Struthio camelus: one gene and its partners. The protein of the gene in region 2 interacts with the protein of the main gene of each other region in a pairwise test. Links are inferred from orthologs where the notes say so. Each region holds a gene or a part of one and is shown on either strand. Other genes may lie near its edges.

Region 1 (6,870 bases), on a different chromosome or scaffold from region 2:
CTCTATCCAGCTCAAAATGAATAAATACCTTCATTGTAATTGATTTCTCTACTGGCAATCCCAGAGTTCAACTACTAAATTTCTCTGAGGAGAGTACTCATTTCCCCTTACTCCACGCTGTGCTTGGCTACACGTTTAAAAACATGATACTGAGAAAAATGAAAAAAAAAAAGAAAAAAAAAAGGAAAAGTTTTGAGGTCTCCTGTTAGCTTGCAGAAGCGTTTTGAAAGCTAAACATCTGACTGATGAATTCTCAATGATCAGACATTTGTATAAAAAGCTGACAAGCAGAAATAAATTTTGGCTTGTGTGCAATAAAGCCAATTCTTGTTTTTGTAACTACAGTTAAAAATAATAAAGATGTACTCAAGACTCCAAAATACTAACTCAACAGCGAGGAACATACTGGCCTTTGGATTATCAGATATCAGTTTGCTTTAATGACTTAAATTATAAAAGCCTCAAAGCAGCTGACATCAAACAGCTGACCATTAATGGACAACAAAGGAGATGCATCCTTGAAAGGAAAACGTACAACAGCTAACACAATTCACTCCAAATTGAATAAAAAAGTTAACAAACTCCTATTACCAGATTCTGCCTGTAGACACATATATGTGTGACATGAGTTGGAACTACAGGTCATGACATGAAGATAAGTTTTGGCCCCAAAACTGCACTTGGGTGGCTTCCAGAGTGCAAATCAAATAGGAAACTGATCAAAATCTTCACCGCACTAAGATACGTAAAATAACGCTGACTTTGTACTGCTCTGTTAGGTCAAACAAATTTGAGGAAAAATGCTAATGCAAAGGAAAGTTTAATCACTTCTACTCATTTGCCACAAGCAATGGGTTAGGTCTGAAGGAAAAACTGACTGAACTCAGAATCAGCATTCTCACAACAACTCATGCAGACGAAGGATACACAGAATGAAACAATACTGATAAAAATGTATGCAAAATTTCATGATAATTCTCAAAAGCAATTTCCAAAAACTAAGTCACAGTATTACTTTTGTGCTATGAAGTACATATAACCAGTGTTCAAGAAATACTGATGATATTTGCATTTTTAAATCCCTTCTTTACTACCAAAATAAGGATGTTTAACTGCATCTCAGCTGCATTATACTGTATTTTATTCTCAGCTGATGTATTCTTCAGCTTGATTTTAAAACTAAAACAGGTTAAGAAACTATGCTGAGGCATGAACAGATACTTAAAATGGTTATTTAAATATGATTAATATCCATTTTACTACTGACACTTTAATACAATCGACCATCAATTACGCTTAACGTGGTTACGTGGACAACGATTTCCACAATATTAGTGCAGCGCTTAAATAGTCTCTAAGATGTTTGCACAAGTTGCTCAGGCAACTTACGTAGCACCAAACAATCTTTCATATTTTTAGTCTATAATTTCTCCTTCTATTTATTTTTAAACGGGCATAACTATTCCTTTAGATCAATTTATTTTCTGCCCTTTTTTAAGAAAACATTTACTAGCACAGCGCCATGCGTTTTGGAACTACGTAAGCACTTCGGATACACAAACAACCGCGTAGATCAATGTCCCAAAAACAAAAGCCCTCCCAAATCCCGGAAGACCAGAGCCGAACTGGACAGAGATTTTAGGATGGGGAGGAAGCACTGTTCAGATAAAGGATTACTGGAACGGTTCCGCTATTTTTAATACCTTATGTAAGCAGTAGGCTGAAATTAGGCTGACACCAAACTGAGAGACAATTTTTTTTTTTTTCCAACGGGAAAAACAACAGCGAATCCCTGCTTTTCCCGACGGGAAGCCTGTGCCTTGGTCCAGCCGCGCCCGCCCGCCCGCCCGCCCGCCCGCCCGGCCCCTCGCCGCGCCCGGCGCCGGTGCCTCCTTCACATCACCGGCCCGGCCCTGAGCAAAACCGGCTGCCCCCGTGTTTCCCCGTCGGCCCTGCTGCGGCGCAGGCTGCGGCCGAGGCAAGCCGCCCTCCGGCCCCTCGAGCAGGAGCCCCAGGGCGGGCGGGCATCCCGGGGAGGGGAGCAGGGACAGGCGCCCCGGGGGATAAAGCCCTGACCTGAAGCGGGGCACAACCCCCGGTCCCCCTACGCGGGGTCCCCATTCACCGTTATAGGTTGATCTCACCAAGCAGGTGACACGTTAAAGAGGAGAGGAGAAAAAAACATAAATAAAACGCAGATTTAAGTTTAAGCAGAACAAGAGCAAGTAGATGTGGGGGCTAATGCTTATAATAGCCTGGAGAGCACCATCTGGGTGAGCATTAGCGGGGAGGCGGGGGACACCTGCAGCCCGGCGGGGGGTCAGAGCAAGGGCTCTGCTGCCCCGCGGTGGGGTGGGGGGGAGGGAGACGGCCGGGCCGCGGCCCCCGGCGCTGCCCCGGGTGGGGAAAAGGGAGGTGGGCGAGGGGCACCGAGACCGAGCCGCCGCCGGGCAAGGCCGCGCTACGAACCGCACGTACCACGTATCCTCGTCCTCTCCGCAGCAGCCCTCCTCCAGCTCCAGCACCGCCACCTCGTCCAGCACCGTGGCCGCTGCCGCCGGGCCGCCGCCGCCGCCACCCGCTTCCTGCCCGCCGCCGCAAGCCGCCGCCAGGCCGGGCGTGGGCTTGAAATAAGCGAGGGGCTCCGGCGGGCCCAGCGCGGCGGCGCACAGCAGGGTGGGCACCGCGCTGGGCGCGCAAGGAGCGGCCCCGCCACCGCCGCCGCCGGCCGCCGCCGGGGGGGGGCCAGCAGGGCCCAGCCCGCCAGGAGCCGGCGGCGGGGCCAGCAGCAGGTGCGGGCTGGGCGGGCCCGCGGCGGCCGCCGTGGCCGTGGCGGCCGCGGCGGCGGCACGGCTCCGCAGCTGCTCGTTTTGCTTCTCCAGCTTCCGCACCAGCTCCTGCAGCTTCTTCACCTCCAGCTCGGCACTGACGACCGAGCCCACGGCGGGGCCGGCGCCGCTCCCTTTCACCTCCGCCATCATCGCCGGCTTCAGCAAGGCAGCCTCCATCCTCCCTCGCCGCCGGCACCTGCGCCGCCGCTGGGCAGCGCCCGGCGCCGCGAGCGGCCGTTGGCGCGCGGGGGCGGGCGGCCGTTGGCGAGGGCGGCTCGCGCCGCTCCCTCGCCCCTCCGCGCCCTGCGCTGCGCTGCGCTGCGCTGCGCTGCGGCGGCGCCACCGCCCCCCCCCACCCCTCACGCCCGCCGCGACGCCGTAGCAGCCGCCTCCGCTGCTCTTGCGCCTCCTGTCAGCGGCGGCGCGGGAGCCGGTGAGATCCCCTCCCACTCGGCAGCCGGAGCCCCCCTCCCTTCCCGCCCCATACAGAGAGAGGGAACAAAGAGCCGCCCGGCTCCCCTGCCGTCAGGCGGCGGCGGGCGCTCCTTGGGGGCGGGAGGCAGCGCGGAGGGGGGTGGCGGCCCGGCAGCCCCCTCAGCGCCACGGCCGGGCTGGGGTGGGGGCTCCGGCCAGGCCCGGCGGCGGCCCTCGGCGGGAGAGGGAGGGGGAGGACGGCGGCGGCGGGGCGAGGGCCGCGGTGACCCGCGTGGGGGCGGCGGGGCCATGTCATCCCGGGGCTTTAGACAAAGGTCTTTGCCCGGCCGTGGTTGCGGCGCGCAAACGCCGCTGCCGGGCTGCGAGCTGGATCCGGCCCAGGCTGTCATTCCTCCTGTGAGCCATATAATTAGCGCCTGGTGGTGTCAGGGTTGTAATTATGCAGATTTAGCTGTGATGGGAATGAGAATCACGAATCAAGGCTTTGTTGTGTTGGAAAGGAACGAATTCAGCCCAAAGCACGCATTTGTGGCTTTGAAACATGCTGATTGTAGGACTTTTGATTCAGGACAAGGAAAGTGCATGTCTTTTTGGAGATACGTTGCTGAAGAAGCATGAAGACGATTCAAAGCGTAGTAGAAAACCACATAAGCAAATCGTTTATGTATCAGAGAGCCCCTGAGATTAAAATTGGCCCCGTGTTGAAATGAGGTCTTTTAACTTGATCCAGATACGTATATGGGTTTGTAGTGTTGAGTCTCTGCTTGAGAGGGATGGATGACATTGAGATATGGAAATGTTTTTATATTGTTCTTCATTATCCAGCACTTAGAGAAACTATTGTTTGCTTTTCTCTCTCCTGCCGAGCAGGTGACCTGGCAGCTTGGTCTGTCAGGCATGTGCATGGAGGTGAAAGCAGGAGCCGAGAACATCACCCCCGGTCGTCTGCCATGGTGCCCTTGCCAGGGGCCAGAGCGAGTCTGATGTGAGAACAGTCAAACCACACAGGGGTACCCTTGATCTGAATTATTCACACAGGATAATGTAACTACAAATAACTTCAAAATACTGACCACTTCTGTGAGCTCATTACTGTGAACATGAGTATCCCAAATGCTCAGCAATAGTGGGCATAGTCAGCTCCTCCCTGGAGGCAAGAAGATCAACAGGGATTCAGTGTTATGCCCAAGGCAACTTGGCCATTATAGAATCCAGGACTGCCCATTTTCTGGTCCATTTCCCCGAGCTAGAATTACAGAGGACAGCTTTCTAAATGATTGTCCTGAAGTTTCCTAAAGCTATAATACAAAATACGCAATAAAATCGCAGGAAGCAGTTAAATTGCTGGGTGAGTCACTATGGACTATAGTCACTATAGTCACTATAGCTATCAAGATACATAGGGTAGCTTCCCAGTTACTGAACATCAACACTGGACAGAGTAGTACCAACAACAGTCACCACTGCCTCTTCACAGTGTCTATTCCCTATCTCAGATTTCATATGTGAGAAGGGGACAGGCCCTAATTCTCTGTTCAGGGCATAAGTAAACTTTGAAATCATCCGGCCTGTCAAAATTTTCTGTCTTTTGTTTACACTCTTTGAAAACAGACTCTCTTTTTTCTGCATATGCACAAGACAATGAGTCTACTATTTGTTAGTCTTCTAAGCGCTATTACAGTGCAAACAACAACTAGCACTTCAAGAATGGATGGAAAGGAAGATAAAATAGGGCATAAGGCTTTTTGACTTCCAGATAATGTAACTTTTATCACTGAGGAGAATAAAAATAGCCCTCACTGTATTAGTGTGCAACCAGATATCAGTAAATCCAAAAATGTGTTTGATCTCCTCTGCCCGTTAGGAAGAAAGGAGTGAAAAAATGTTAACGGTGTAGAAAATGGCTGGTCCCAATTCTGTCACACATCATCAGAGTGAGTAGTATAATCCAGTTTTTGTTACTACCAATAATCTTCATTTCCATGAGAAAAAGAGGAATAAGTTTCAACATGTTTAGCCCCAGGCAAAAGGCCTGTCTCTCACGTTGTCATCCCCCATAATGGTACTAGCCTTAATTCTTAGAAGTATGTGTATGCTAATCCAGTAAAATTTTTAAAATGATAAAAAGGTAACTAGCAGCATATGTAATATAGCGTTTACTGGTCATTGGTGCTGTACAACGTAAAAAACGCAGTAGTTTGTGATAATGTCACAATAATTATGGTGGATAATGCAATGAGGCAGAGGAAATACTGAAAATGTTCCAGAACGGAGAAATTACTTTTTCTCTTTGAACCAGGTGAGCAAAGTTATTTAGACGACGAACAAAAAGCAGGAAATTGATATCTGATTGTTTCACCTTTCAGCTACATAGCGTTTTTCCTAATATTTCCAAATGTTTTGGCACGGGTTTATCCCTATAACCTTCAATATTCAATATTAAATGTGGACCTGGCAACAATATTCTAATTATATACCAGCTAGGTTAGCCCTGAAGAGTATTGACAAACAAATGTCCTGAAAATACTAGTGATCCAAGCTCTTCTGACTGCCAAAGCAGGAACACTACAGTGTGGTCAGGACATTTTAGAAGTAAAAATATCTAACACAGACACCAGTTTGGGGATACGTTTGGAGATATACTACAAGTATCATGGCACGTGACCTTAAGAGTCACTATTAAAATACTTATCTTCAGTTATGAGTAGAAGCAGTTTGTCTGTGAATTTTCAACTACCTTCCACTGTTTAGACTGCCTACAAACATATTGTATGCAGACACTTGTTTGGACCTAGTTCCAGAAGGGACAAAGCTTAGGACTGAGTATGATGCCTTAGCATGGGGATAAAAACTTTTCCAGGCAGTTTGTACAAATTAATCAAGTTCACTACATCCAGTCGCCACAAAAATGGTCCAGAAGTTTGGCTCTCCCTAGGGTGGGTCTGCTTTGAGCCTAATCTCCATCCAGCAGTATGGATTGAAAACAGCTTAAACTTGTGCATGTTCACAATCTGGGTGAGAGACTCTATCTTTTTTACCAGGCATTTCCTGAAAGGGTGGTTCTAGTGAATGGAAAAAATCAGTTTCGCTATGGTTGCTCTATATTAAACGTACAGGTAGTTTCACTAACATTGCATCTTCACTCAGAGGTTCTGGCAGATAGAGTGTGTGTACATGAACATGCTATTTCATGGTCTTTGTGCTGGCCAAAAAGATGGTTTTGACATCCTAGTCATTAAAATATTTTTGACCTAAGTTGTTTTTTTAATACAAATGGTTTTTCTCCACTGTTGACATTGCTAATAACTTGCTTGACCAGCTCCATTCAGAATTCCCACACTTGCTGATGTGTTTGGTCAACCCAGAACTCCTACAGCTCTTCACAAAACACAATGAAGACTGTATGAAGACTGCATCCCTTTTTTAAGTTATTGAAAAAATGTGTTTTACACCAATCCAAAACATCCAAACATGCCCATGAAGCCTGTTATTCCTCAACCGGAGAAACTGTGGTAGCATAGAAGATGGTGGTTTAGGCTACTTATGTGACATAGTATAGTAGAAATTTCTGAATCAGAATAGTTACTAATAGACACCCAGTGCA
Region 2 (7,821 bases):
TCCACAGAAGGTTTTTCGCATAGCAACCATGTTAATAGAGTTTCTCTAATTAGCATTTAAGAAATAAGTTTTCTTGATCTATACTAAAAAGATCCACAATTGTAAGTACTCGACCTTTTATTTTAGTCGTATTTGTTTAAAAAAAACCACACACACACACACACACACACACACACAGAAGCATGCTTTGCATAGCTTCTCTAATTTTTGAAGATTTTAAACTCATGTACGAGCTCCATCCAGTTTTCTCTGACCAAAACATAGATTTTCACCTCTTGGAGACAGTAGATGGAAATCAGCATCTAATCCTGCTCCATCTAAAACCTGTATAACAATAAAAAAATCCACCCCAATGGAACTTCCGTTTGAATGACGGAAGATAACATAAAGGTGAATCTGCCCATATGGCTCTAAACAAGTTAACTGGAACCAGATTTAAAACTGGTTCAACCCAAAAGCATTTCGGCCATTTCAGCTCTGAAGGTAGGTGTGATCTAATCGTATTGAACTGTTTTAGACCGAAGTTTTTCCTAGCATTTTTAAAAAATCTGTTTACTACAGTACAATTCCATGGTGATTAGAGAAGTGGAAAATATAGTATAAGGAAGGAACTCCAAGACTCATGTTCATGGTCATCTAGGCTTGCTGTGCCCAGGATTAGACAGCCTCATAAGAATATTAACCAACAGCTGATCCTAGCAATTCTTTGACAGACACGATTGAGGGATACGTAGCAGTGTGAGGTTTACTGGTAAAAGAGACATGCTATAACGCCGATCAGTGGAATGATGTTTTAAAGGCTTTGATACTTTTTCTAAGGATCTTCTCCTAAGCATGAGCGTGACTGCAGAGGAAAGCATGAAGGTGTGTTTTCAGTGCTATTTAAAAAGATGATATTCTGGGCCAGGTGAAGGTGAGAGTCCGCATCTTGACAGGGGACATGGGCTGAGAGGAATGATGAGGACAGACTGTGGAAGGGATTTCTCTTCGGGGAAGAGAAGTAGGATAAAACTGATGCAAAAGAGGGGGAGGAATGCAAAGGGAGGATGACATAATCGAGAAGGACATGCTTTGTGGAAGGCTTCTGAGTGAAAAACTGTGGGCAAAGGAGACTGCTTTAGTCTAGACAGGTTTTCTGGCCATGTGGATGGGGAGAAAGGACATCTGTAACTGCAGTACAGTGTGGGGAGAACCAAGCTATATTTAAATTAACTAATACCCCAGGGACGTTGTGAAACGGAGACGGAAACACTTCCTTCCCAGCAACAGGATAGGGAAGGGAGCTCTGATGTTCCCTGGCTGTTTGGAGAAGCTTTCTGGCCAGCCAGCTTTCTGTGCGGCTTTCTGGGCCGCACCTGACTTGAGACATCCAGGAAGGCATCAGGACATTGACCTGAGAGCTTCATCAGTCAGTGCAGGGAGCCACAGCACCCAAGAGGGAGTGATGCCAGGAGATTCGTTGCCAATCTGCAGGTGAAGTCAACTTATTTGTTGAGGATGCATAACAGAAGGGCACTGGATGTGTTGCGGTGCGGAGCATCTAAAGCCTGGCTAGTCCTCATGAGAAAAGTCCTCCTTGTGCAGGTAAACGTCCTCATGTTAATTGTATCATATTTGATAGCAATAAACAAAGGACTCGTCAGTTATAACGTAGAAGAGCTGATAATGCTACTCCTGTATCAGTTTTTATCAGCTTCTGAACTATGCAGATAATGTTCAAAGAGAGGATTTTCTCTTCGCATGTGATGTCTTAAAAATTCAAAAGATATTCCTGACTGCTATGCGTATGAAAACATTTAATTTGAAGCAAGGTGAGTGCAAATGTTTGTTCGTGGAGATCTCAGACTGCAAGAATCACGAAGCAGAAGCTTCTGTGTGTGATTTTTGAACATTAGTCATTATAACTGAAGCAGTTTCAAAAAGCGTAAGCAGTCTTCCACAATTGCCCACCCTTGGAGCAAATTTCTTGATTGTGTTGTTAGTGCCGTAAGAAATGTCAAATCTAAGCAGAGCAATTGCCTTGCCAAAAACATTTACTGTATAAAATATAAGCTGAAAAGTCTGAGAAAGAGGAAAAACCCCAAACCCAGTTTTCTGCGATTCAGCTTAAAGACAGCCAGTGTTTTGATTTGTTCCTACCTAAATCGTGGCTTTTCTTTACTGTGTTTCACATACAAAGCAACCTGCATACCAAAAGCATGCACTTCAACAACCCAGAAGCTCGAAAGAAGTAGGGACGTTATTGCTACTGAGTTCAATACCGTGAAATCAAGCAGGTAGCTTTCCCTTCATTTTGGCAAGATAATAATTCTTATAAATCCTATTGTACTACAGAAGTCCGTCTGTACACACTTTATGTTACAGCCCCATTATATGATACCTCAAATATTGCAGTAAAGTAACTAAGCAGAGGAGAAAACAGAGTCTTTCGTATGCCTCATTTTCTTTCCAATGAGAACAAAGGAGAAAATGATAATTGACTTGAAGCTGCATGCACGTACAATTCTACATCACATTCCAAACATTTATTTTTGCAAATTGCTCTGTCTTCTCTGCACGGTAGTCTTGCTGATGGTGTGTGATAAGCTAACTCAAATGTATACATGAACACGTAACGAGACTGGAGCGGCCGAATTCTTCAAACTGTCTGCAGGAATACATATTCATCTCACGAACAAAATAAAATGCTCACTTTTCTATAGAAAGCACGTCTAGTCATGTTTGAAACAAATTATACGGAGAGCAGAATAAATCCTGAATGCCTCGGTGAAAACTGTTCAAAAGAAAAACCCACACGGCTTTCAGAGCTATGGTGTATGTATGGAGAAGACGGTTACTGCCCATGACCAGCATACCTTTCTTGAGAGGGGAGAGAGAGAAGTTAAGTATGTTTGAGCAAATGTCTCGAAAATTAGTATGATAGGAGTTGAAAATTACTATGTAAATTGTACGCAACCTACCCTTCTCCTCCACTATTTAAATATCCAGACAGACACAGAACGTGTATCTATGCAAAGATGTAATTGCAGTTGTTTAAAATGTGTCATCCGCGCTCTTTGATTCTACAGCTGAATATGCACATCCTCAAAATATACCAAAAATATGGGGCAGGAGACTAGGAATATGCTAGCATGCCGTATTTAATACAAAGTCAATGTTCAGAAGCATTACGGGATCATCATCGGCTGTTCAGGCCCCGGCACAAGCAAGCAGCACCTCAATGCTGCATTTAACAGTGAATTGCATTGAAGACATATTAACCAAGTGCTTTTCTGAACCGGGAACAAATGGTAACATTTTCTGGTCACACATTCAAAGCTATTTAGCCACAGTGCACCCGGGCCCATGCACGCGAAGGTGCCTTTCCGAACAGCCCTCTCGGAGACTTCCTGGGAAACAGGATTCCCGTTACGAGGGCAGGATACTGATTACATTTGCATACGGGCAAATCCCGAGGTCTGGGAGACGTGTGATCCCAAGGTCTGCAGGCTGGGATTGCTGCTGTGCTGGGCGACCTAGGGACAGAAGCTCGCGAGCATTTGAGAATTTGGGTCTAAATTGCTTTGGAGAGCGGGTCTTGTAAACAACTCCGCAGGAGGCTAACTCCTCCTGGAGGAGAGCTAAGCTCCGAAGGGGCCTTTTCCAAGTCAGAAGGCTGGAGGCAAGCTGAGCCCTGAGGCTCGCAGGGGCCAGGGGGTCTGGCTGCTCAGGGCCGGTGCAAACCAGACTGTTGCTAAATCTCTTAAAGAGGCAGCCCCGGCCCGGAGAGGCAGCGTGGTGCACCCAAGTCTTGCAGGACCGGCTGCTCCGCAGCAAGCGTTTCTGCAAGGCTGCCGACCCTGTTGCATGTTAGTAGAATTGCGTCGGGGCAGCAGAGAGATGGGACTTTGTGCTCTTGAAACGGATCGGGGGGGAAAAAAAAAGCTTATCACAAGTGCGTGGTGCTAGTTTATTTTCATAGCATTCTTTGTAGCGCTACAGAAGCTGTTAGCATCTCAGGATTTGAAAACAGAATTAGCTATTGCATGCGTGAGGCAAATCAGCAGTGTCATTCGGCACACCGCCCCATGCGGAGTTTTGCCCTGGGACTGGGCTAGTGTATGAAAGCCTGCTTTTGTAGCTACGAGCAGTTAACAAATAACACAAGGGTTTTACGAGCAATGCTGAAGCTGGGGCGTGCTTGCGTTGCTCGTTGCAAACCTGTGCCTGCTTCCTGAGCCTAAGGAGCGCTGAGTTTTCAGTTCTTCTAAACAGGAGACTGGTCTTTGGCATGTGCTTTCCCCCCTTACGGCAGAGCCTTGCTTTGAAAACCAGAATGATGAAATAGTCTTTTTTTTTTTTTTTTTGTGTGTTGCTGCTGCTGAAGCAGTCCCTCTCTCCTGCTGGTCAGGAGAAGGATACTGCAAATTGGAAACAAAATGAAACTGCTGCCTGTGTTGAAAGCAAATGCGAGGCAAGAGAGGGAGCGCAGCTGCTGGCGCGCCAAACAGGGAAGACTGATCATTTAAGCGCGCAGTGTACGGGGCTCTGGGTTTCACACCTCCGCGCACACGCCTCCGCCGCCGCCGCTCCACACAGTCCGAAGGGAGCCTGCCCAAAACTGCCTGCCTCCTCCTGCCCGCCGCCCCGCCAACCCCGCCGGGGCAGGCCTCGCCGGGCGCCGCGGCCCCCAGCCTCCGGGCAGCAGCGGGCCGGCTCCTGCCCCGCCTGCCCCGCTCGCTACACGCCGGGGCCGCGGCCATTGGATATATAAGAGAAGCGTCGCCGGCGCCTGGCTGAGCGAGCTCGCTCGCGGCGGCCGGGCCGGGAGCGGCATGGAGGCCGAGGAGGAGGCGGCGGCGGCGGCGAAGGCGGCTCTGCGGACGCCCAAGTGCTCCCGGTGCCGCAACCACGGCTTCGTGGTGCCGGTGAAGGGCCACGCCGGGCACTGCCGCTGGAAGCTCTGCCTCTGCGACAAGTGCGCCCTCATCTCCGAGCGCCAGAAGATCATGGCGGCCCAGAAGGCGCTGCGGCGGCAGGCGCCCGACCCCTCGGCCGCCGAGCCCGCCGGCGAGGGCCCCGGGGCGGCCGGCGCCTCCGAGCAGGGCGGCCCGGCGGCCGGCCGCGAGGGCACCAAGGGCGCCCCGCCGGCCGGAGGCAACGGCCGGGGCATGGCGCGCCGGGGACCGCCGCCGCCGCCACCGCCGCCGCCGCCGCCTGCCCCCGGCGGCGCCCCGCTCTGGGACTACGGTAAGGGTCGCGCCGGCGCCTGTCCCCGACGGCCATCCCCACCCTGCCCCGCTGTCCCCCGCGTCCGTCCCCTCCCTCCGTGCGCCCGGGTGAGCGAGGCTGCGTGTGTTTGTCCTGCGGCGGCGGCGTTTCCGATGGTGCCGGTGGTGCCGGGGTCGTGCGACTTTGTAGCTGCAGGAGCGATGCGGTCAGCTGCTCCGCTCCTGCAAGTGTTGCCACGCCGGGAGTTAAAGCCGGAGCGTTGCTCTTCTGGAGGGAAATTTGGGAGGGAAACCGAACTGTGACCAACTGCGCGAGAGAGGCGCGTGCGCACGTGTCCCCGAGCGCTGCCCCCTTGTTTACAGCTTCACAGACACGTCCCTTCAGCAAGAAAAACACTTAAAAAAACTGAGCAACGGCAAGTAAACGGCAAAGTTACTGCCGCAGTCGCCTAGAGCACGCGTTTTATGATAGCGCCATAAAAGAAGGAGACCTTTTGGCCTTCGTTCCTGTAGCAACGGCTTAGCTTGGCGCGGACCGCGTGGTGCAAAAGCGCGTTTGTATTTAAGAGTGGAGCATAGATTTTGCAGATGGAAAAGGTGTATGGTCTGTCACCTCTTAAATTGCTTCCTTTAATAGAGTCTTTCATGTGACTTGTCTAGTCTATTACTATTTATTATAGTAATTTCAGACTATTACTATTTACTGTGGTAATTTTACAGAAATCCCGACAGGCTGCAGTAGCCGTTAGCGTGGGCCTGTGGAGAGATGGCAGTTTAGAAGACAAAGAAAATGCTGGTCTGAGAAGCCCGGAGAAAAGAGTCATTTCAGACATCCCTAGTTCCCACCTCATCTGTCAATAACTGTTCCATTTTTTCGGCTTGGTTTCCTAAGGAAATGAGGCTTATGGATCATGCTGGCTGTGCATGTTCCTGTCAGTCTTTCCCTTAATAAAATTTTTAACCTGTTGACCGATTTCAAGCAGAGTTAGGGGCAAACAGCAGAATTATAGTACTCCGGTAGATTTATTCGAGAAGCAAACCCTTCCACTGCTACATCAACAGGGGGATGGTGCAGACAAGAAAGACCCTATTCATTTTCATGCAGCCCCTTTTTTTTTAGACATCAGAGAAGCCATGTGAGAGTTCAGGCACAAGATAAAAACCCAAAGGAAGCAGTTGATTCCTGCATCTGAAACTGCCGCTCTTTGTCACGGAACCTAAAAATGAGGACTTCTCTGCCTCTTAACTTTGGAAGTGCTAATAGTCCTGAATGTAGAGCTGTATATTATTTCTCTCTCTATATATGTTTTTTTTAGTTTTGATATATTTAAGTCTTAAGGCAGGTTGTTTTCTCCTGCTGTTGTGGCTATACTGAAAGAATAAGACTCTGCAGTCAGTGCTTTACTAAGGACTAGCTTCACAATGCACAGGAGGGTAGAAGAGACTGCAGCTCCTTCTGCAGTGGTTCGTTTGCCTGTTGCACCTTTCCTTAGTTCCTTAAAAAGATCACAAAAGAAGTTCATCGGGGTAAACGTGAAACCAAATGGCCAGGTGCTCCTGGCTGAGAGTGGAATTTGGCCCTGCAGCTATTTCGGTTGAACTCCACAGCACTACAGTGACGCTTCTATTTGTTCTTTGCTAACTGTTTCCCAGCTCACCGGGCTTTTCCTCCAGAATACGTGGTTAACCCAGAGTACCTGGAGAGAGAACCTCTGAAGGTGTACCCTGGGCGTTCTGGGGTGTATCCTTACCACCCGTTTCCCGTGGGATTTGCCATCAATCAATCAGGCTGCAGGGGAGCACCACCACCGGCAGGGATGTCGCTGCAAAGAGGTTTCCGACACGTTCCCAGCACCTATGGGCCAGGGAGCGCAGCTTCTCTGTCAGTAAGTAGTGGTTTTTTTACTTACCTCTGGAAAGACTGTTGTCTTTGTTTTTAGCTGCCTTCTTGCTGTGAAAGTAACCATGAAGAGTTACCTGCTTATCAGTTACTTCACAGCATCTTGATACATTGCACTGAAGAAACCAGGAGCAAGCAGTGACGTTAATAGCCTGTCCTGAAGCCGGGACATCAAACTCACGCAGTTATGAGGGGCTAGATTTTGTATTTGGGGGCTTACACCTCCTGCTGATGTCGACAGCAGCCTTTTGGGACGATGGCAGCTGGTCACTGACGTGGTCCTAGTGTACCAGCGTAGATGGCACAGAATGTGCACCGGGAAGCCTCTCTTCTTCCGTGTAGGACAGAAGTCATTGGGTGGGAAGGTATCTTGGGTTGGCCAACCCGCCGCAGCCACAGAGAAGGACAGGGAGAAATCTCTTTCGGCTTCCACAGGATACTGATTCAGCACAGTCAGGTGTTTCTGTTTTGGGACATTTAGTTTCTCAAAAAAAGTGGAAAATTGTTGTGGTTAGTGGAAGTTTCAAATGAAAAATGACTAACGGAAAACCCTGTTTTCTATTGAGAAAAACGTTGAGCAGAAAGTTGAGATCGTATTGAGGGGGAACGGACAGGTGTATTTTGTAAGGAGTATGAAAGCTGAGGGTGGCGAGCAAAGTACCCAGCTGAGGGATAGACCAGGGCAAGGCTTAGCCCACACCTTCAAATCAC
Region 3 (7,382 bases), on a different chromosome or scaffold from region 2:
CTGGTTATCACCTCCTTGTTCTGTGCAGGAGGGGGGAAGCTAGGATACTCTCTGCACTTGCTACTGCTGTGGAGAGGCCCAAGAGGAGCCAAACTCTGCAGCGGAGAACAACAGCCAGAGCACCCTGCTGATAGTCTTTATTGCAACAAAGCTGCTAGGCACTCCCCTGCACCACTAGTGGCCTGGAAACAGGCATTTAGCTCCCTTGTGCCTGCACTGCTGTGGGAGGTCATCCCCTCCAGCAACTCCACTGCTGCTCTACAGGAGCCAGCCCAGCTGGCTAGGGGCAGCTGGAGCAATTCCTCTGGACAGTAACTGAGCAGAGCAGAAAGCTCTTGGAAAATATTTATTATGCACAGCACAAATATAAAATCCATCCTGGGAGGGAGGGCCTGGCTGGCTCTTCCAACCTCTGGCAGGTGCAGAGCTGAATGCAGGAGGCTCAAATCCAGTGGTTCCTTGGGCCACAGCAGCCCCTGGAGGGTGGTGGCTAGCAAGGCTCACTGCAGGCTCCAAGGGGCGCAAGCCAGCTGCTGCCAGCCAGCGACAAGCCATGCCCCATTGGGCTGGCAGGGCTGCTAGGTCTGCAGGAACTCGGGCTGCACGCGGGCCACCTTGCGGAAGTCCTTGGTGTGCGTCCGTGGGCACTGCATCTCGCACCAGCTGATAGGCACCATCTGCACCCCTAGGAAGCGTGGCAAGTCAGTGGCTGGTTTCTCAGCACCGCCATCCCTGTGCTGTGGTGCCTTACCTCCCTCCACACAGTGTCTGGGCTAGGCCCCTCTGACTGCCCCAGGGAGCCAAGGGGGCTGTGTGGGTTCGTGCCCAGAGGGCATAGCTCTGGCCTCCCAGCTTTAAGGCAACAAAACCCCTTTCTGCTCCCACTGCGTGACCACCCACCCATCTCTGCTAATAGCCACAGACCTTCACTTGTATTCCTTGTTTCCAACGGTCCAAATCCCTCCTCCCAAGGCCCTTGGGGCCCATGAGGTTCAGCAGCACAGGGGAGGAGGGTGCTTCTGCTCTCTGAGCTGCATCAGCTGCTCCTCACATGGGGCGAGGCAGAACTGGCCGAGCCTGGGCCCTGCTGCCTGTTCCTACCTGCTTCGCTGCGAGCCACCACCACACCCAGCTCGTTCTCCGCCGTGCTCAGCAGGTAGTTGGACTGTGCATCCCCCAGGGAGATCTGGTTAGAAACGGGTTAAGGGAAAGGCCTCCCTGAGGGGACTCGAGCGCAAACCCTCTCCCCCATGCGGGCCCTCCCGGTGCGAGGGCAAAGGATACGACTTTGGCCAGGACTATGTCACCAGGGCGGAAACTCTTGTAAACTTCTACCTGCATGGGAGAGAGGAGACACAAACACACAGTGTGTGGGGGAGCCTGTCAGTGGGGGCATGGCAGGGCAGCCATGGCAGCTGCCCCACAGCTGGGGCAGGACAAGTGCCACCCTGCCAACAGAAAGGAGTACAGGAGGCTGAGCACATGCCAGGGTTGCTGTGGTAGCCCAGAAACTGGCAGTGCCTCACTGACCTTGTCTTTCTCTGTGGCTCGAATATCTTCTCTCCTAGAAGAGGAGACAGAGGGATCTGAGCACCGGAGTGAGCAAACAGGACTCCCCACCCCGCTGCAGGAGTTTCCCCAGCCTCTGTCAATGCCCACCAGGGCTTGCTGGGCATCTTGCCGGCACTCGAGGCAGAGCTCCTGCCAAAGGCTTCGCCTGGCTGGCAGGGACCAGAGCCCAGGCAAAGCAGTGCAGAAAACCCTTCTGCTCATGTTGAGGACGGGCCATTTGGGCACTAGGCCTTGCTGGGAATCCAGCCCTTTCCCTACCGTATGGTTCCCCGGAACGTGGACTTCAGGGGTGTGGAGCCGATGTACAGGATGTGCACCTTGGCAAAGCGGGAGTTAATGCTGCAAACCTGCCAAGAGGAAGAGCTGGGAATCAGTGCCAATCCAAGCGTGGTCTGACCCCAGCACGCCTTCCCCAGACATCCATGCACCAGGACAGGTATAAGGCAAGGGTCCTGCTGCCCATGGCTGTACATGAGAAGGTAGTGTCCCAGGCCCCCCCAGCTCTGTGTACCCAAAGGAGCCGCAAAGGAGAAGGGATACCCAACAGCAAGCCAGCAGGAAAATGGCACTTGTACACCTGAAGAGTGCACCAGGCTCCACAAGCCGTGGGGCAACAAGGTTTGCCAGGTCTGCCACTGCAAGGCTGGCATCTCCCTCCTGCACCCAAAGGGCCCTCCTCCTCAGAGCACAGACCTGCACACACTCCAGTGCCCTACCTTGCATGTCACAACGGCCCCCACATCAGGCAGGAGCTGGGACTCAGCATCTCTCACCACAGACACAACAGGCAGCTGCACGGGAGCAGACGCGAGGGTTAGCTCAGGGCACGATGCACGGCTCACGCACATGGTCGTGCTGGACCATGCTCAGAGCACACACTGGCTGGACAGCCGGAGCCCAGCTGCCCAGGGCAGGCAGCGGGCTGGGAAGGGGCTGCACAGCCTCCTCTGGGGAAGGGCAGTGCGTGCCACAGCCATGCTCACCCCACTCTCCTCGCTCCTCTTCTCCAGGCAGCCAGCCAGCGACGCGAAGATGAAGCCGTGCCGCGTGTAAGTCCCACTGCCGGCGCTGGCTTCCCCGGTGCTGCACAGCCGCTCGCCTGCGGGACGCGCGCGCAGCCTGAGGCCGGCGCCGGCAGAGGCCGCCGGGGCTCGGGCCGTGCTGCCGCCGCCGCCGCCGCCAGGGCCCCTTCTGCAGGGCGGCCCTCTCCCCTATCCCCAGAGCCCCCCGGGCCTGCCTCCTCGCATGCCCCGGGGGGCTCCCCACCACCTCCTTCCCGGCCAGCCCTCCCCGAGCCGCCTAGGCCCCGCGGCGGAGCGGGCGGGCCGGAGCCTTGCACTCACCGGGGACGCAGTACCGAGCCGGAGGCGCCATGCTAACTACTCGCAGTGCACCCGCAGAAAGCCCTCACTCTATTGGCCCCCGGCAGCAAGACCCTGCCGTAAGCGGCGCTACTATTGGCTCGTGCCGGCCCTGCCCAGAGCGCTGGCGCGCTGCCCGCTGGGAGTTGTAGTCCGGCGCCCGCCGAGGGGGCGCTTCCCGGCAGGCCCCGCGCGGCCAGCGCGCAGGCGCAGTGTGCGGGGCGGCGGGAGCTGCCCGTGGGCAGAGGGCGGCGGGCCGCCGGGCATGGAGACGGCGGGCGGCGGGGCCGCAGGTTGCTGGCACGGGGGAGCGGGGCCCTATGGGCTGGGCTGGGCAGGGCATCACTGAGGGATGCCATGGGCCTGGAGGGGACCTGGGTGTCAATGGGGGATGCTGTTGCCTGGAGGGGGCTGGGTGCTGTGGGGCTGGGAGTGAATGGGGGGGGGGTTATGGGCCTGGAAGGGCTGGGTGATGTGGGGCTGGGAGTCGGTGTGAGGGTGCCACGGGCCTGGAGGGGGCTGGGTGCTGTGAGGCTGGGAGTGAATGGGGGGGTGCTATGGGCCTGGAAGGGCTGGGTGCTGTGGGGCTGGGAGTCGGTGTGAGGGCCATGGGCCTGGAGGGGGCTGGGTGCTGTGGGGCTGGGAGTCAGTGGGGGGATGCCATGGGCCTGGAGGGGGCTGGATGCTGTGGGGCTGAGAGTCAGTGGGGGGATGCCATGGGCCTGGAGGGACTGGGTACAGTAGGTAGGGGGTGCTGTGGGCCTGGGGAGTGAATAGGGGTATGTCATGGGCCTGGAGGGGCTGGGTGCTGTGGGGCTGAGGAGCCTAGGTGCTATGGGGCTGAGGGCTTTGTGCGGTTGGCATGGGCAGCCTTTGTGTTATGTTGCTGGGTGCTGAAGGAGGGTGACTCGGAGCTGGAGGCTGCGGGGCATGGGTGCTACTGGAATGGGGGAGCTGGAAGCCAGCAGAGGGTGCCACAGGGCTGGGCTCCGCTAAGCTGCAGCCCCGCAGGGTCTTGCAGGCCTCGCCATATACCTGGGGTAGGGCCTTCCCTAAAGCTCTCTCCTGCTTCTTGCTGTTTTGATGCCTGTGGTGTCCGGCTTGGCCATGCTGGAGGTTGCTGCTGCCCCTTCCCTGGCGGGGAGATGGCCGTGCTTGTGTGGCTCGGCTCCTCAGGGCCATGGGCATGGCAAGGGCTGGAGCTCTGGTGCCAGAGCGAGCCTGTGGTGATGCACGGCTCTGCTGGAGCCTCGTCGTTGCTGTCTGCAGGGGGGAGCCCCGGGGCAGAGGGTTCCTGCCCTGTCCCTAGGCAGCTCGGGCTGACTGCCTTCCGTGTGCCCCTCCAGCTCGGCAGCCACCATCTGTCAAAGGCGAGGCAATCTCTTTAATCAGAGCCTGGCAGTCTTGGGGGGAGCGGGCTTGGCAGGCATATATGCTGTGGGTTTGGAGAGGAGGGCCGGCCCCAAGACCTGCCCCGGCTGCAGCGTTTTACCCTTACTTAGACTAAAAAGATGGGGACAGATGCCACCCAAAGGCTATGCAGCTGAAAGTGCTAATCCACTTCTAATATGTTTCAGAGGAAAACTCTTGGCAGAGTCTAGAGAAAACGTAGGGTAGGGGGTGGCACTGGGGCTTGCTCATCCCACCCCCCCATTACCAGAGTGCAGGAGAAGTAGGAACCTGGGGAGGAGTCATGCTTATGGCCTGTGGCGGATTGCTGGGTCTGGTGGGTCTGACACCCTGATGTCCAGCTGCTCCAAGCCTTGGAGTCAGCCCTACACTCGTCTGGGCAGGGCAGGGCAGGGCAGGGCAGGGCAGAGGGGAGCCCCTGGCTCCTTTGGACAGCCCGTGTGGATGTTGCAGCTCCTGACCTTACCCTCTCTGCTGCTCCCCAGGGGCTGTCCCCTGCCAGTTCCTTCTGGTGTGGCAGCATGTTGGTGGCAGCAGGTATCGTGGCACAGGGAGCTGGTCCCCGCTGGACAGGCTCTGCTGCGGGTGGCACCTTCCTGCTCCCTCCAACTGGCGTGGGTCCCCCGCGGGTTGGGAACTGAGATGGCCTGGGCTCCGTGGTTTGGGCACAGGGCAGCGCTGGGCCCAGCAGCTCTGCTGTCCTGTGGGTCCCGTCATCACGCTGCTTTAGCCGCACTGGGGATGTGGCTGGGTGTTCCCAGTATTAGGGAGTGGAGGTGTTTGGAGGATGGGGGAGCAGCAGGCTGGAGCCAGGCGAATGCTGCTTTAGACCTGGCTCCGTTGCCTTGTGTGGCGAGTCCTGCCTGCCGAGGGGCAGCTCTGTGCCTGCCTCGCCTGGTGCCAGTGGGGAGCTGGAAACAGCAGCTGAGAGAGATTAGGGCAGTTTTTGGGGCCAGGGTGGCTGCGGAGCTGTCGTGAGTCGTGTGGGGGACAGGCTCCGTGGCAGCATGCGGCACTGCTGCCTGGCACTGTGCTGGGGCGAGTGCCTGGCCCAGGCTCGGAGAGTGCCTTCGCAGGACCCTGGGGTGGCCTCACTCCTGGTTAATATTGATGGGCCATGCCTGCACGGAGGCCTCGGGGCCCCGACCCAGCAGATCGTTTGCCTCGTTGCTGGGCCAGCTCGGGTTCCTCCTCGCTCCTAGCACGGCTCTCGGGTGGGATGAAGAGCTCAGCAGGCAGGTGAGCTCTTGGCTGTGAGGGTCTCTTTTCCTGCACAGCATCATGTCTGCCTGTAGCTTCCCAGGGTCAGACCAGCCTGTCCTTCACTGTCACGTGGGGTTATCTGAGGTGAAACCAGGCAAGGGGAAGAGGGGAAGCTGTGGGTCTCCTGGAGTGGGGCTGTGAGGTGGGGAACAGCTCCTGAGGCTTGGTCTGGAGGTTCGAGCAAAGCGAAGCAACGTCCAGGCCCTGCCCTCTGGGGGTAGCAAGGTAATCTTGGTGTGGGTCCTCTGTGCTTGTCTTCTGAGGACTCCCCCAGTCCTGAACTGGGCATGAGGGACTGGGCCTGGGATTGTCCCTTGTCTCTGAGCATCCTTGGTGAGCCCCTGCCCTGGAACTGGCCCAGCATCCTGAACACTTGCGCCTTCTCTGGTTTCCTCTGAGTCAGTCTCTCCGTCTCACTATCCTGGCCCCCTCTCCTCTGGGAAAGACGAGATGGGACTGGAGAGCGTCTACACCCAGCCGTGGAGGGCTGAGGGACCTGTGTCCCCTGCTGCAGCCCCACGGCCTCCAGGAGTGTGGGCTCAGCTCCTCCTACTCCTACTCTGCATCCTTGTGTGGGACATAGGAGAGGTCCTGGCTCTGCTGTGCATGCAGGTGTCTAGCAGGGTTGGTGCAGGGAGCTGGGGTGTCACTCAGGGCTCTGAGAGGGTGCAGGGAGCTGGGGTGTCACTCAGGGCTCTGAGAGTGGCACCAGCACTTCCAGGAGGGCAGAGCCTCTCCAGGGAGTCCCCAGCCCTTGCTGTGGGACGGCTGGGTGCCTGGGCAGTGCAGCGGCCTGCCCATGCTAAGCGTCTCTCCTCGCAGGTGCGGCACGGCAGGGATGAGGAGCCGGCAGCGGATGTTTGCGGCGGTGATGCGCCTGCTCCTCAAATGCCTGCGGCTGGGCCGGCGGCGGCGGTTTAAGCTGGTGCGGCAAGTGGAGCAGCTGTGGCACTACGGGCGCCTCTGCCTCCGTTCCTTGCTCTACAACTCCTTCACCAACAGCGACGTGGTGCTCGATTCCCTCTTTGAGCCTGTCTACTGGCTGGTGGACCACGTCACCCGTTGGTTCGGTGTGGTGAGTGTCCCCAATGGGGAGGGGTGCTCCTGGGGCAATTGAATCTTACCCCTGCAGGGACTGAACCGGCTGCCTGCACTGGGCTTGATGTGTGCTGTGCTTAGCTGGAGGGAGTGGGGGCTTTGGCTTGTGGTTCAACTCGTCTTCCCGTGCCTGAATCCTGCCTTGGTAGAATGGGGCAGGTGCTGCGTGCTCCCGTGACTCAGTTCCCTTTCCCATAGGTGTTTGTGGCACTGGTGATTGGGCTGACAAGCTCCATAGTGGCCATTGTGTACATCTGCCTGCTGCCCCTCATCCTGCAGACCTACACACCTGCCTGGATATGCTGGCACCTCGCCTACGGACACTGGAACCTCCTCATGATCGTCTTCCACTACTACATGGCCATCACCACCTCTCCTGGACACCCACCACAGGTGAGGCCAGGCCTGGGCACCAGTCAGCAGCCCAGCCTCTCCCGGGAGCAGGACCAGCACCAGCTGTAGGGGAAGCTCTGGGCTGCTCCCCAATTTGTGCTGCAGACGACTGCTGGGACCAGCCAGACCACCCTGGGGGCATCACTGCAGGAGCCCTCTTCCAGGATGGGGCGGCTGAGGCTGGGCAGTGCTGGGGCGGGGGAGTGATGGAGAGGTTGGTGGGGGGCAGGTAGTGGGCTGTCCCCAGTGCTGTTTAGGGCTCGCTCAGAGTCATAAGGGAGGTGA
Region 4 (7,363 bases), on a different chromosome or scaffold from region 2:
GCATTTTTGGTAGGTGATACTCTTACAAAAGTTTAGGGATAACTTATATTCTGTCATACCAATCCTAATATTGCTCTTCTCCCTAATGTCTCTCTTCCCGAACAAAATCTCTAGTGCTTCCCGAAACTTATGCCCTGCGCACTGGAATTCTTTGGGTTTCCCAGGAGAACGCTATTCCACGGCAAAGTTGAAGGTTTTGGGAGAACATGTCAAGTTCAACAGAGCTGGTGGGTGTTCTGCCCCTCTCCTGTGTGTCCACTGGGAGCGTCTCGTCCCTGTCGCTATGGGAGAGTCTGGCCCTGCTGAGTGGGAACACTGGAACCAAACTCACTGGGTTCCCAGCCTCCCCAACACTTGCACAAGGAAAGGGTCAAATTGAACTAGCGTATTCTCCCTCATTCTCTTCAGTACACAGCATGTTCTTCGTCCCATGTTTCGTTTTCTTTTTTTCAGAGTAGCCTCTTTTCTTATGAATAGCAACAGGATTTGCAGCCATGGACGAACGCAGCCGCAGTGTGGATGGAGGACTGCCCAACAGCACAGCCACGCTCCATTCATGTGACAGAGTGCACGCTGAATGAAAGGACATCTCAGCCTTTGTGTAAGGATTCAGTGGCCAGAGGGGATGGGGAAAGGGATGACATGGAGCTCAGCTTTAACACGTGGACTTTGTCTTTGACTTTGTGTCGTATTTCTCTAGCATTAATCTCCCTTTCTGCACAATTGAGAGAAGTTACTTTTCAGAACCTCTACTCTGTAAATTATTTTGAAGTACAGAGATGAAAAGTGCTATGAATTTCATCAGAATAATAACTTTGAGAGCTGAAATAAGGAATTGTTGCTGATGAAATTCAGCCTCACAAGTTTGCAATCTTTCATATGCTTTTCTGTTGATTACTTTGCATTAGTTAAAAGCTGTCTCACACTTATCCCTACAAATATGTAAGGACTTTCAAGGTTTGGGATTTTTTGGTTTGTATTTTGTGAAAAAGGACCATTTTTAGCTTTTTGGTTAGCCCAGAACTTTAGAATACTTTATTATGCACCCACCTAATTGCAGTTTTTGAATTGGGAAATCCCTGTTAGAGTCTCAGTGTGTTAAGAAGTTAATCTTCTAAAGCTTGATGTTGCTTTTCATGTATGTCTGAAGATATTTTAGAGGAAGGGAAAAATGAAATCTGTCCCATTAGAACAGAATACTCTTGAAAAGGCGGTATGATGGACAAGGAGAACTTCATGCCTTGCTGACACATTGGAGTAACTTAACGAGTACCTCTCCCCAGCATCTCAACAGGAAGCAGCAGGGCTAACTTGCTACAGGTCTGTGCAATGTGCATCGCTTTAAAGTCTACAATGGGGATTGTTGCTTCTTCTGTGATTCTGTCAATCCCTGTTAGATACCAGCAAAAACAGTGTCAGAAATTAGCCCGAGCTGTGCATTCAGACCTAAGCAACCTTGCCTGTGGGAGAAAATTAGAAGAAACTTTTCATTCAAGGATTTTGATGTTGTACAAAAATTAAATGCACTCTTATCTCCCCTAAAAGAATGAAACAGAACCATTAAGTACGTGGGTAAGCAGAAGACTAGATAGTTTAATAATTGAAATATGGCCCTCTGGAGGTTGATGTGCTAGAATGAAGGTCAGACAGATGCAGGACCCCTTTCTCATTCTACCTGAAGCTGCAGAGCTTAAGAGGGAGCATTGCTATCAGCACTAAATGCTCTGAAAGTTGCCTCTCCAACTAGCGTTAAGCATCTGGGATGCAGGGAACATGCAGAAGCACCTGTTGAAACAGTAAAGGAAACACAATTCTAAGTGCACCCTGCCATCCCACCCTCCATGCAATGTCTCCTGAGGAATTCTGTCTTATGCAGAGAGAAAATCTTTTCTGCCCTGCTGTGTCAGCTCCTTTCCCCTTCCCTCCCTCCCCTAGAGCTTAATCACCTCTCAAAGACCAAATTTAACCCTGAATGACTTACCTAGTATCTCAAAGCAAGCCAGTGACTGAGCTGAAAATAAACCCTGTAGACCTGGTGACTTCCATTTAAATGCTTGCTCTAAGTATCAGATCACAGCCCAAGCCTTGACTAAGGCTGCATCCTTTACAGAGCTTCTGATTTGGGGTTGCATAAGTGACAGAAATATAGGAGGCACCAAAAACACAGTCTGTAAGTTTCCCAATATAAATATCCAGAAATGTTATTTTACACAGAAAATAGCATTGCCAGTGCCAGAGAAGCCCTATGATTCATTGCCATCTTCCACTAAATTTAATTCAAGGTATTGTGGGCATGGACAATTACTTCAAAGTCAATTCTCCAAGCCATTCATCTTTCTTTTCAGTGCACTCGCTGCTTGTCATTTTCTCTTGCCATTCCTATACCTCCACTGCGCCTGATGGAAGTTGTCTGTGGTTTGTAATGCAAACCAAATGTTCCTTCTCTTTTTCTTTTTTTTTTCCTCAAGCTTTATTTTTCCAGCTTTAAGTTTAAAAAGCCCTAACTCAATCTGTCCTCTGCAAACAAAATACATAATTTGAGCTGTGCCCATTTGGTTCAGATTTTTGGTTGTATATTAAACCGAGCATTTACAAGATATAAATAATTTGGTGTAGCTCCCAGATTGAATGGTAGTGCTCTGCTGTTAAACACTCAGTGGGAGAGTTAGATCTGTGCTTTGCTAGCAAGAACAAGATGAGTTTTATATTACTAAGTGCTAACAGCATGATATCTTGCATCCCCTTTTAATCTAGATCTTGTGATCTTTGTCAGATTCAGTCCTGAGCAATACTATTACACTGAACTATTGCAGATGTCTAGGATTTCCAGGCAATAGGAAGAACTAGAGATCTGGAAGTTTTCTAACAAAGAGAAAGGCACTTTAGGAGAGTTGGATTTACTATTGAAAAAAAAAAACCCTATACTTATTGCAGAATAAAAATTCAAAAGGAGGAACTTACAACAGCGAGGCAGGCAAACCTGACTTCTGCAGAAGGCTGTTCCTCTTCATAGGCCTGGCAAAAAAAGACAGAGTGAATAATTGAAAACACACCCTCATGATATCACGTGACTCAGTTTCAGTAATTCTGCTCAGCACATTGGAACGGAGCTATTGTTTCCTAATTGAAGAAAATGTCAGCAAGGATAGATAAACAAAAGCAATGGGATGCAGTATTGGGGGAACTGTTTCCAGCAAGCTTCCCGCTACCCAAGGAAGAAAAGACCATTTAAGGAGTCTGTGTCATTTGTTTCTACCCATCACACTCTGGTCCTAGGATTGATGGGGTTCAGGCATGTTAGGCTTACTGTGAGAGGGAGGAAAATCGATGCTAATCAAGTGCAGGATTTCCTGCTGGAGGCCGAGACGAGACGGCCAGCATGTTTCTCATAATTTTCAGCAGATATTTTAAGCATTAAGCTAGTAAGAATTTCATAGGCTACTTCTGCTCCGGGAGCAAAAAACAATAGGAGCCACTTTTGAATGCCAAGCCCTTGTATTGTTCACCTTGAAATGACATGGTCTCTTCAACCTACTAATTCTTGCACACTCGTCTCCTTATGGGCTAGATTGTAACTTGTGATCCAACGTGATCAAAGGCCCAGTAAATTGTTACGCTTTCTGTGGAGCATCCCAGGGAATGAGAACTATGCCTTGGATTCCCAGTTCCTTCTGTTATAGCTTTCTTTTTCTGCAAAGTAAAAGGTTCACAGTCCGATCTACTATTGTGGCAACTTCTCTCAGCCAGCACCGGTGAGCTGCATTGACCATTGCTGGTGGGAACAGTCAGCTGCCTTTCTACCACATCCCTAGGCATGCTCAGCTGGTTTTCATCTAATACACAGAGGCTGCTCTTTTCCTGCCTGTCAACCCCCAGCTCTGCTCACACACTGACAAGACACAATCTTGCTTCAGAAACCTACTTTCTCTCAGTGAATTTTTGTGACTGCTTTAAGTGTAAGGTAGGCACGAGATACATAGGGAGTTTGTAAATTAAAAAAAAAAAAGAAATCCCAAAACAAAAAGAATTGTCTCTGAAACAGTTAATGTTAGTTTTATTGAAATAGAGAGGCCTCTTTGGAATTTTCCCACAACCTATAAAACCTATACATTTCTGGAAAATGTAAATAGAAACCTGAATTTTACACCTGGCCCCATCTGGTCATGGAAATGGTCAACAAGAGAGTGCTTAGACACCTGCTACCCTCTCTGTGTTCTGTGGCTCTAAGATCCCAGTTTTACTGGTCTGTCACTAAATTCACAAAAGAGAGAAAGTATAAAATGGGTTTGAAATATTTTGCTGACACGGACTCATGTTTATTGGTCTCCTGTAACCTCTAGATATCTAAAAATGTAGGCTGTGAAGACAGGCGACTGCCACGTGAGAATTACAAGTGGGACAAAAAGCAAAACTGATGGGACAAAAAGCAAAACTCTCTCTGCTCTGCTCTGCACGTCATCTACAGTAGCAGTGACACCTTCTGTCCTTGATAATATAATTGTGGCTAATTTATATTTTAAGTGTTTAAAAAAAGATGAGAATTCAGTATTGCTTTCCCAACTAAGAAGTTTTCATGGTATCAGTTAACCAACGGACATCTAATGTAAAGGGGACAGTTTTAACCTGAGTTACTGGATGATAGTAAACATGGAGCATTACCCTACGATTTTAACTTCTCATTTTTGTAGAAGAACCATGCTTTGGCGCTGAGTAGTGAACACTGGGTATCAGGTAGCTTTCCTGGAAAGAAGGAGAATTAGGGAGTTGATTTTGTGTTTTCTGAAGCGGTTCATCACTGTATTTGAATAGAGAAGACAGCGGCCTGCTATATAAATTGGGATTTTATAGTGCTGGTTCTGTAAAATGAAATATCAATGAGAAAACGAAGCCACATATTGTTTACCACTTAACTGTCTTACACGGTAACACACACATGCTTTTGTTTAGCAATAGAGAACTCATTCACACAGAATCTTAACAGCCCCTGGGTTTTGATCCAAACTGATCGAGTTGGAAGCTCAAAAGCATTGGAAAGCTATTTTTTATTTCTTCCCATTGTCACATGTTATTGTGCTTCCTGACTATGGGCTAAATTCTGTAGTCCTTAAGCCTTTGGGAGTTTTGTTCATGCAGAATCTGGACTTCTGCCAAGGCCAGCAGCAGAAACATAAATATCACAAGGAGGGACTGTTTTTCATGATGTTTCACTCTAACCTTTTGCAGCTTTTTTCATCTCTGTACAGTAATTGTCAGTGCCCAGTGGTGAACAGAAAAGCGCATTTTTAGAAGCCATAAGGAAAAAGGAGAAAGAAAGAGAACCTCTGCTGTGCCTGCCATGTTGTAGTAATGGTATGCTTTGATATTGGATCTTGTGGTCAGTCTTCATTACTTAGCTCAAAGATATCATACCAGAAAAAAGGCAGTGAACATTGATCAGAGGCTGGAATTTTGTATGAAAAGATTGAAGTGATGTGGACTCTCCTTTACAGAAAGGAGTTGCCTTGACAGAGATTTATGAAATAATAGGCAATATAAGGAAAATCAGCTGTATTCCCTTACTGTCTTTTTGTGAAAGCAACAGGAAAAGAAGAATGTAGCAGAAAAAAAAGAGTCCAAACAAATAAAAGGAAATACAATCTGTAGCATAATTAATGCATGGAGCAAGAAGAGAGCAGAAATCATGAGCCCTTTGAAGTTAGCTATTTTGCCTTTGATTTCAGTGGGACACAGATTTCACCCCAAGGAGTGAGTAGATGAAAATAGTAGCCACAGTTAAAGGGAGTAACATGTTTAAGGGGCAGCAACTTGCTTCAGAATAAAAGTCAAACTTTACCATTTACAGGTAGGGTGGTACATCTGGCCTGGGATAGGTCATAGTTTCCCCTTAATGGAGACCCTTTTCTGACAAGTGGAGTTAGTCTATATTGGAGATGGGAAACGGACTTAAAGTAGTCCTTGGACTCATTTTTTTATGACTAATTTTTTTGCATGACTGAAAGCAGGATGAGTCTGGTACCATAGCAGATGCAGGAACGGATCCCTCTTTTCCCCCAAATTATTTTCCAAATCCAAAGTTTAGATTTTAGATATACAGGCTGTTCTGTACTAAATGTTTTGCCTGTTGCTGCTAGTGATAACCTTTCCCGAAAAAGGAGCATATAAACTTAAACACAACATTAGTACTGTGCAAAGCAAATCTAAGTAATGATGGAACTTAGCTCCAGTTTTGATCTCCACCCAACTTCAAATACTCCATGTGTTAATAAGAGAGAGAGTTTGAGATAGTCTCAATTTTGTCCTGTCCTTACATGGCTCAGCAAACCAATGAAGTAGTTGTGCCTTAAACACAGTGACAATTTTCACACGTTACCATATTCCAGACAACAAGTTACATTGCACAGGACAACCATCCCCTCGCTGCTGCTAAGCCAGGACTGAATTAGTCATCTGTGTCTTGGGTTTTACAGCTTTCACTCTGCCCTTCCATCCATCAAAACATAGCAACATAGGAACTGGCACACTGAGTCACAGTATAAACAATATCCTTAATTCAGTATCCTTCTCTAGCAATGGCCTATAGCTATTGCTTCAAAGGAATTGCCTTGCTAAAAAGCAATTAAGAGAGAACTCGCTTTCGGGAAGAGTTTCCTCCTAGCACCTTCTTGGTTAGAGTAGGCTGGCACTCTGAGGTTTTGTATGTGTTCCAAAGTTGTTGAGGCTTTTTACATTATGATTGGATAGCGCTGTTTTTAGCAGAAGCTGCAAACTGCCCATAACACGTAAGTATTGCATTATGTCAGATGAGGTAAATCTCGTTCTAATTCCTTTCATCACTTAGTACCTAGCTTCTGCAAGGAAGCATGAAGAATGTTTTTTTCTTCTAAAGATGAAATGAATCCTGTGTAACGTAACTGTAATTCATCCTTTTCTGGCTCCTATTAAGTTTTTGATTTCAAGAGTATCTAGAGGCAATGAGTTTCAGGCGTTACATAAAAATGTACTTACTTGTAATTGTTTTAAGTTTGCTGCCTCTAAAATTTGTTTGGTTGTTGTACTAAGAAAAATATCCTGATCTTCAAGTCTTTGTACAGTCCCTTTGTCATTGACCTCTGTGCCTTGATCACTCTATTGGTATCATCCTCTATTCCCTACCTACTTTTAACTTTTCTTCTGCCTCTTCCTGTCTCTCAGCTTCATGCTTCTTTTTGTATGCTTGGATCCCCTCCTTTTTCTTCAGGGCCTTGTTTAAAAATCCACTTCCTTTTGTGAACTTCTTTACCTGACTGTTTTATAACGGTATCTAGCTCTGCAGTCTTCTAGACTGTTTCTCAGTGAATTGCCTTCCTATGAATTAATACAAGTT

Evidence for each region.
Region 1: the proteins of DMRTB1 (region 2) and SLAIN1 interact in a two-hybrid assay, tested with the Homo sapiens proteins (2 studies listed by BioGRID). The link is inferred for Struthio camelus from reciprocal best matches to the Homo sapiens genes DMRTB1 and SLAIN1.
Region 3: the proteins of DMRTB1 (region 2) and EXOSC1 interact in a two-hybrid assay, tested with the Homo sapiens proteins (2 studies listed by BioGRID). The link is inferred for Struthio camelus from reciprocal best matches to the Homo sapiens genes DMRTB1 and EXOSC1.
Region 4: the proteins of DMRTB1 (region 2) and IL16 interact in a two-hybrid assay, tested with the Homo sapiens proteins (2 studies listed by BioGRID). The two-hybrid records come from large-scale screens. The link is inferred for Struthio camelus from reciprocal best matches to the Homo sapiens genes DMRTB1 and IL16.

What each region holds. Positions count from the first base shown.
Region 1 is NC_090942.1:176,505,840-176,512,709, forward strand, and holds the start of SLAIN1 (SLAIN motif-containing protein 1), read right to left. Parts: upstream 3,017-6,870; 5' UTR 3,009-3,016; coding exon 2,479-3,008; intron 1-2,478. UniProt on the Homo sapiens protein: Microtubule plus-end tracking protein that might be involved in the regulation of cytoplasmic microtubule dynamics, microtubule organization and microtubule elongation.
Region 2 is NC_090949.1:32,201,382-32,209,202, forward strand, and holds the start of DMRTB1 (doublesex- and mab-3-related transcription factor B1), read left to right. Parts: upstream 1-4,814; coding exon 4,815-5,229; intron 5,230-6,863; coding exon 6,864-7,096; intron 7,097-7,821.
Region 3 is NC_090948.1:16,978,406-16,985,787, forward strand, and holds EXOSC1 (exosome complex component CSL4), read right to left. Parts: upstream 3,003-7,382; 5' UTR 2,947-3,002; coding exon 2,916-2,946; intron 2,672-2,915; coding exon 2,556-2,671; intron 2,364-2,555; coding exon 2,289-2,363; intron 1,920-2,288; coding exon 1,831-1,919; intron 1,565-1,830; coding exon 1,531-1,564; intron 1,336-1,530; coding exon 1,285-1,335; intron 1,187-1,284; coding exon 1,102-1,186; intron 686-1,101; coding exon 579-685; 3' UTR 334-578; downstream 1-333. Other genes in the region: palmitoyltransferase ZDHHC16, read left to right, coding at 5,461-5,582, 6,429-6,681, 6,903-7,097. UniProt on the Homo sapiens protein: Non-catalytic component of the RNA exosome complex which has 3'->5' exoribonuclease activity and participates in a multitude of cellular RNA processing and degradation events.
Region 4 is NC_090953.1:10,890,842-10,898,204, reverse strand, and holds the start of IL16 (pro-interleukin-16), read right to left. Parts: upstream 3,016-7,363; 5' UTR 3,012-3,015; coding exon 2,962-3,011; intron 602-2,961; exon of another isoform or gene 1-601. UniProt on the Homo sapiens protein: Interleukin-16 stimulates a migratory response in CD4+ lymphocytes, monocytes, and eosinophils. Primes CD4+ T-cells for IL-2 and IL-15 responsiveness. Also induces T-lymphocyte expression of interleukin 2 receptor. Ligand for CD4.